2 linked regions of the Ovis aries genome follow. The protein of the gene in region 1 purifies or fractionates together with the protein of each later gene. This does not show direct contact. Links are inferred from orthologs where the notes say so. Each region holds a gene or a part of one and is shown in the gene's direction. Other genes may lie near its edges.

Region 1 (3,647 bases):
AGGTAGTTTCTTCTTTAATTGGCAAGTAATGTTTGTACTCAGTTTTCTTCAATCTAGTGGAGTTTACTTTGGTGTAAACGGATAGCTGTTTGAAAGGAAGTAAAAGATTGGTTCTTTCTAGATTCCCTAGTAGTTTATACGTGCGCGTGTGCGTGCGCACACACACACACACACACACACACCTGTTTTTCTTTCCTGATTAATTAAAACTAGTTCTGGAGAAGTGTTAGGGACCTTTACACATAATCCATAATCTTAATGTGGGTATGTGGAGGGGGTGGATGCAGAGAGCGCTGGTTCCTGCCGGGTTTGAGCAGGGGCAGCCCATTGTCATCTGGAATCCTACCGTATCCTCTTCGAGCATCACCCACTTTGGTGCAAGAGACGAGCTTTCTTTACCTTTGCTTTCAGTTTATTTATGGTTTATTTAAGTTTATGGTCTAAATTTTGGTCTCTGCCTTTTGGCTGAAAGCAATGAAAAATGTCCTTTCTGACAATAACATCTGGTTTGTACCCCTTCATTTGGTAAACCTTTTTGGCATAACATAATGTTCAGTCCTATTTAGAATTACTTTTTGAGAAACCAACGCTTCTCAAACGTCAGTCAGAACTAAATATATTCAATATATTAGAAAACAATTCTCATTTACATGTTAAAGCCAATCCTGGGCTTGCTTAAGTTTATAGCTTCAAACAAACCCTTTTGTTGTAATTTTGCCTTAGTTTTAAAAATGGGGATGGACTATAAAGTTTTTCTTTTTTAAGAATTTTAAAAATTGTTTACAGGCCCGACTCCCTCATTTGTACCAGTTTTTCAATATTGTCATAATTCATGGCTTCTGGGCCATAAATTGCCAGGTGGGGATGTAGTGGTACCTTGGTGTTCTGCTGTCTTTCGGCGTCGCACCTGCTGTGTGAGCAGATAACCTAGCACAGAGTCACTTGTACTTCACACTGAACACTAAATTGGTTTGTTTTCTTCTAGAGTCATCCACTGTCTCTAGTTTTTGCTTTCAAATCTACAGAACATGTTAAAATCTATGTTGAGTTTCCTTTCTGAAGAGATGTCTAAAATTGTGTTATATAAATCTAAAACGGATTTCCAATACTTTTTGTTTTAATAGTATATCACAGAATTGGCAAATGCCTTGTCTTACTGTCATTCAAAGAGAGTTATTCACAGAGACATTAAGCCAGAGAACCTGCTCCTTGGATCAGCTGGAGAGCTTAAGATCGCCGATTTTGGGTGGTCGGTACATGCCCCATCCTCCAGGTATATAACTTCAGAGATGGAACTTGTTTGTTTGGTTTAGTAAAAGCCTAGGGGCTAATGAGCTAAATAGTAAAATATTTACTGTAAGTAAATGTAAGCATAGATGTTGTGGGCGGTTGGGTCAGGTAACTGACATACATGCTTTGGAGTAATTTAGGCCTGGCAGGAAACTAGTGTCTTCAAGAACATTTTTACTATGCAGCCATTTGTGGATGTTTATCCTGGGGTTACGGAGAAGGCAATGGCACCCCACTCCAGTACTCTTGCCTGGAAAATCCCATGGACAGAGGAGCCTGGTAGGCTGCAGTCCATGAGGTCGCTAAGAGTCAGACCTGACTGAGCGACTTCGCTTTGACTTTTCACTTTCATGCATTGGAGAAGGAAATGGCAAGCCACTCCAGTATTCTTGCCTGGAGAATCCCAGGGATGGAGAATGCTGGTGGGCTGCCATCTATAGGGTTGCACAGAGTCGGACACGACTGAAGCAACTTAACAGCAGCAGCAACCTGGGGTTAAAGATGCATACTATCCTTAGAGGCCAGTGAAGGGGACAAATAGGTAAAAGATATGACAAGTGTATCACAGAATGAAATGCGGTGTGTAGAGGGGGAACAACACCTGACTGACGGGGAGGCAAACTCCACTGCCTCCAGGGCCAGGAGACACGAGTTCTATGAGTTCTGAGGGCAGCACCTGCAGAGCTCTAGAACTGGGAGCTTAAAGGAACCAAACTAGTTTGGATGGAGCTTTCAGACTGGTGGGTAAAGATTCTTTGGTCTGCTTCTGTCAACAGAGCAGTCCTTTCCTATCTCCTCTTAAAGCAGAGAGACCAACCTATGAAACAATTTAAGTGAACTTTGCAAACAGAGCTAAAACATTTTCTCCTGTTTTTAGGTTGGGTTTCAATGAGCTTTTGAAACCATGTGTGAAGTAGGGCAATTAAAAGCATACATCTACTGCTAAGAGTTTGTCAGCTTTGGGGTAGGTCTTTAAAAAATTGTAACCAGATTACTTTAAAGCCAGTTTAAAAAACTGTATAGTCCCAAATGGATGCTGTTGAGTGTGAGATTTGTTTTTGATATAGATCACTCCTAATTGTTTCCAGCAAGGCACTGAATCTGCTGTTGCAGTCTCTTTTTGTTTAGGGGAGAAAAAAATCTGGTTGTCACAAGTGGGAGCTGTTGGCCTCTGGTGAGGCAAACAGCAATGGCTGTATGATCACAGGGCTAAGCTGGACCTTGGCCCGCCCAGTGGTGTCCTCACGACAGGAAAGCTAGCTGATCCTTTTCTAAAGAGGATATCATATAAAATGTTGGTCACTTGGCCCGGCTTCCCATAGCTGGTTCGCTGTAAGAGCTCTCAGGTTACTGTGCTGTCTTCCAAGGCTCTTGATCTGGGCCTTCTCCCGAATCCAGTGGTGAGAGGCTAGGAGTCTGCGGTGGCAGCTCCTTTAGGTGAGCGAACATTTGTGCACTTGCCAGGCACCAGTGGCACCAAAGAGTAACTGGTACAAGGCAGCAAAATCTGCCTAGCCTTTGCTCCTGTTTTGATGTCTGTTTCCAACCTCTGTTATAAAAACAGACACGCTGAATTGATCACCTGCCTATCCAGTGCCTATACTCCCAATAGTTGTTAACATTTTACCACATTGAGTGTGTCTACGTTTTGGTTAACCTTCAAAAAATAAGTGACAGACAGCATGCTTCATCCTTTGAGTGCTTCAGTAAGTAGGCTAAGGACATTGTCCTGTATAATCACAGCCATTATCACACCTAAGAAACCTAGTCTTGTTAATATCTACTATTTAGTCCATGTTCAAATTTCCCTAGTTGTTCACACAGTTTTATAGTGGTGATACTTTAAATCTTATATATCATTTAAGGAAGTTCTGGAATTAGACATATTTGGGGTGCCACATGATTGCTAACTGTGAGGTCTGGTACAGCACCCCATCTAAAAATGGGTTTATAATAGCACCTGCTTTGTAGCACAGGAGCTAGCCTAGGAAAAGCGCTCAGGGTTAGTGGAATGGTTGGTGCCTTTGAGCAGCTGTCATGATAATAGAAACAGTAGCACGTCAACCCGAGCCTGCCTGTATTTTCAGGAGGACCACCCTCTGCGGCACGCTGGACTACCTGCCCCCTGAGATGATTGAGGGCCGGATGCACGACGAGAAAGTGGACCTCTGGAGCCTTGGGGTGCTTTGCTATGAGTTCCTCGTCGGGAAGCCTCCTTTTGAGGCAGACACATACCAGGAGACCTACAGAAGAATATCACGGGTAAGGCCTCACTACAGAGGGACCCGTCGTTGTTAGAATTCCTTATCAGCCTTGACAGGAGGCTATGATCTGAGTGTTTCTCGTGTTCTCTCTGA
Region 2 (3,747 bases), on another chromosome or scaffold:
CTATGCTGACTATGACAAGCTGGCCTCCCCCAAGTATGGCAGGGTAGCAGCTGGGAGCCCGCTGGGAGGTTGCTGCTGTGAATTTGGTGGCAGAGACTGTTCTAAGACTAGGACTTCGGGGAGAGGGGCTCCAGTTAGAAGTGGAGGGACTGGAACTCAGGGTGGGTGGGAGAGGAGAGGGGTCCTAGCTGACCGCAGAAGAGCATCATGATCAGGGTGAGGGTTGCCGGCTCTCACAGGAGGACAACCAGCCCGAGCATCGCAAGCGCCGGCCCCTATTCTGAAACTGCCTAGTGCACCTCCAGCCTCCGAGGTGGGGGCGGGGGCGGCCTTCGCTTGCAGGGCTTATAATCTATTCTCGGTTGTAAGATTGACGCTTTCAACCCCCATTTCCTGAACGATCACCCTACAGAGCTTGCCAGAGGTCCACCATGCGGTCTACCTGGGAAAGATGTTCTGGAGGAGCTGTCTAGGCAAATGTGGGACCCCGGGGAAGCGGCGCTTGACGCCAGCGGAGCGGCCCTGGAGCAAACCTTCTCTGGCAACCTCTCCAGCACCCTCTGCTGACAAGGCTCGGCATAGCTCAGGGATCAGATTCATTTTGAAGTGAAAAGAAACGCTCCTTCGAAGGAAAGCTATGACAAACCTAGACAACATACTAAAAAACAGAGAAATCACTTTACTGACAAAGGTCTGTCTAGTCAAAGCTATGGTTTTTCCAGTAGTCATGTATGAGTGCGAGAGTTGGACTATAAAGAAGGCTGAGGGCCAAAGAATTGATGCTTTTGAACTCTGGTGTTGGAGAAGACTCTTGAGAGTCCTTGGGACTGCCAGGAGATCCAACCAGTCCATCCTAAAGGAGATCAGTCCTGGGTGTTCATTGGAAGGACTGATGTTGAGGCTGAAACTCCAATACTTTGGTCACCTGATGCGAAGAGCCGACTTATTGGCAAAGACCCTGATGCTGGGAAAGATTGAAGGCAGGAGGAGAAAGGGGACGACAGAGGAAGAGATGTTTACCTAGAGGGAGCAGAGGAAGGGGAAGCCACGCCCCCACTTCTAGAGGCCCCTCCGACCCCGCGGCCCCGCCCACCACGCGCGGCCCCGCCCACCACGCGCGGCCCCGCCCACCACGCGCGGCCCCGCCCACACCCGCCACACCCACACGGAGGCCTCGCCCCACCCCCAGGCGAGGCCCCGCCCCCGGCGTGCGCGCGGCCGGCCGCCGCCACCGCCATTTTGGAGCGGCCAGCGCGCGGCCCGCGGCCTGAGCCGGTCCTGAGGCGCCGGCGGGCCGCGCCGGGTCTGTGGGTGCAGTGTCTGTGGGCGCCTCGCCCGGCCGGGCCCATGTGCGCGCGGCCTGCCGCGGGCCGCCCGGGCTTCGCCTCCGCCCGGTCCCTGGCCTCCACCCGGGCCTCCGAGGAGCCGCCGCGACGCCCGGCCCGCGGGGCAGGTGAGTGCGGCCGCGGCTGAGGGCCGGCGGGGCCCGCGCGCCGGTGTCCCCATGGCACCGCCGCCGTGAGGCCCGGCCTGTCCGCGCCCCGCGGCCGGGGTCCGCCGGGCCCGCGCCCGCCGCTGGCGCCCGCCCCGTCCGCGTCCTCTCCACGTGCCCGCCGCCGCCTGCCGTGCCGCCGGCGCCCGCCCCCCAGCGCGCTGAGCCCCAGGGCCGCAGTCCTCGCCCGCCGGCGCGCCCCCCGGCGCCGCCCGCCGTCAGCGAGCCCCGGAGACTCTCCCCCTCGTCAGGCGGTCGCGCGTGTCTGCCCTTCCTTCCCCGGCGCCGCCGGGGCCCGCGCAGTCCGCGCCCCGCTTGCCGGCCGGGCGCCCCGTCAGTGCCCCGGGGCTGAGTCCCGCTCAGGGCCCGCCCCGCCTGCCCCGCGCGGCCGCGGGGCGCTCCCCTCGCCGGAGCCCCCTGTCGTCTGCGCCCTTCCCCCCTCACTGTGCCCTTCCCGTTTCTCCAGTCGCCTGTCTCTCCGCCCGTCATCTGCTGACTCCTTCATGGCAACCCACTCTGGTGCTCTTGCCTGGAGACTCCCGTGGACGGAGGAGCCTGGTGGGCTACAGTCCACGGGTCGCAAAGAGTCGGACACGACGGAGCGACTTCTCTCTCACTGCCACGTTTCTTCCCCACCACCTCTCCTTCACACCTGGGGCGGCCCTTATGCACTTTCCAGGCCCCGTGAATGTCCTCGCACCATCACTGTGAGGTCCATACAACCCCCCTTCCACTTTGTGTCTTCACAGCCTAACGCCCTGCATCGTCCGCAGACTTGTCCCTGACTGCTCCCACCTCGCTGCTGACCCCCTGGCCTGTCGCCACCAGCTCGCCCAGTCTGTGGCTTCCACGTAGCTCCTGCGTTCCGCGCTGCGCCGCCCCGTTCTCTCCCTGTGTCCACCTGCCTTGTCCATAGGGCCTTCTCCAGCCTGTTACTCGCTTATCCACCTGTCATCTCCCCCCTTCCCTTGTGTCTCAGCTGGTAAAGAATCCACCTGCAGTGCAGGAGCCCTGGGCTCGATCCCTGGGGACAAGCCCCTGGAGAAGGGGAGCGCTGCCCCCTCCAGTATTCTGGCCTGGAGAATCCCGTGGAATGTACAGAGCTGGACGCGGCTGAGTGGCTGTCACTCGCTCGCCTCCTGCCGTGGCCTCTTCCTGCCCTGCCCTTGGCTTCTCAGGGCCTGGGTTCTCACTGGCACTCTCAGCTGTTCACCTCTTCTTCGTGTCCCTTCCGTTTTGGCTTCTCTAATGTCTTTGGAAGGAACGATGCTGAAGCTGAAGCTCCAGTACTTTGGCCACCTCATGTGAAGAGTTGACTCATGGGAAAAGACTCTGATGCTGGGAGGGATTGGGGGCAGGAGGAGAAGGGGACGACCGAGGATGAGATGGCTGGATGGCATCCCTGACTCGATGGACAAGAGTTTGGGTGAACTCCGGGAGTTGGTGATGGACAGGGAGGCCTGGTGTGCTGCAGTTCATGGGGTCGCAAAGAGTCGGACACGACTGAGTGACTGAACTGAATGTCAGCTAAACCCTGGAAGGCAAGAAGAGCCTTCTGGACTGAGGGGGCAGCACATGCAAAGATCCTGGACCTCCTCCAGGAACCTGGATAAGACTGCTGTGTGGCCAGGGTAAAGGGGAGAGACACTCAGAGCCTTGGTTAAAACGTTGGCCTTCCAGTCGTCTCTTGTTTGTAGTCTGTTGACTCTGGGTTGTGAGGGGACGCAGGCTGCAGGTTGAGTTGGGGAGTGCCATCGACATGTGAATACCAGAGGGAGAGACAAGATGTTGGGAGGAGTGCAGTTCCTTTGTGTGCCTTTTTCGTTGTTAAAGCCATCCTTCAAAATTGAAAGGTAACAATTCCCGATTCTGATTTCTATTTTTTAGAGTAATTTTGCAGGTCCTTCAGCATCATATAAATGGAGCCAGAAAGCATACTACACAGTCTTTCACGTCTCTGTGGGTCTGTTTGGCTGTGCCAGGTCTTGGTTGAGGTGTGCGAGATCTTCTGTTGGCAGCGTGCAAACTCAGCTGTGGCCCATGTGCTCCAGTTCCCTGACCAGGGACGGGGCCTAGGCTGCCCGCATTGGGGGTGCGGAGTCTTAGCCATTGGACCACCAGAGAAATCTCTGTGTCTGTCTTCTTTTGCTCAGTATATTTTTGAAATATAATGATTTTGATTCTTTTATCTGTAGTTGTGCTTTTCATTTGAATAATATTCCTTTGTGTGAAAATAGTTTTCTTATTGATATTTG

The links. The genes of interacting proteins can lie anywhere in the genome.
Region 2: the proteins of AURKA (region 1) and PPP6R2 purify together in Homo sapiens (affinity purification with mass spectrometry; 4 studies listed by BioGRID and IntAct, counting the BioPlex papers as one, with this or other methods). This does not show direct contact. The link is inferred for Ovis aries from reciprocal best matches to the Homo sapiens genes AURKA and PPP6R2.

The regions. Positions count from the first base shown.
Region 1 is NC_056066.1:59,223,775-59,227,421, forward strand, and holds part of AURKA (aurora kinase A), read left to right. Parts: intron 1-1,124; coding exon 1,125-1,273; intron 1,274-3,377; coding exon 3,378-3,552; intron 3,553-3,647. UniProt on the Homo sapiens protein: Mitotic serine/threonine kinase that contributes to the regulation of cell cycle progression.
Region 2 is NC_056056.1:225,612,835-225,616,581, forward strand, and holds the start of PPP6R2 (serine/threonine-protein phosphatase 6 regulatory subunit 2), read left to right. Parts: upstream 1-1,241; 5' UTR 1,242-1,453; intron 1,454-2,241; exon of another isoform or gene 2,242-3,345; intron 3,346-3,747. UniProt on the Homo sapiens protein: Regulatory subunit of protein phosphatase 6 (PP6). May function as a scaffolding PP6 subunit. Involved in the PP6-mediated dephosphorylation of NFKBIE opposing its degradation in response to TNF-alpha.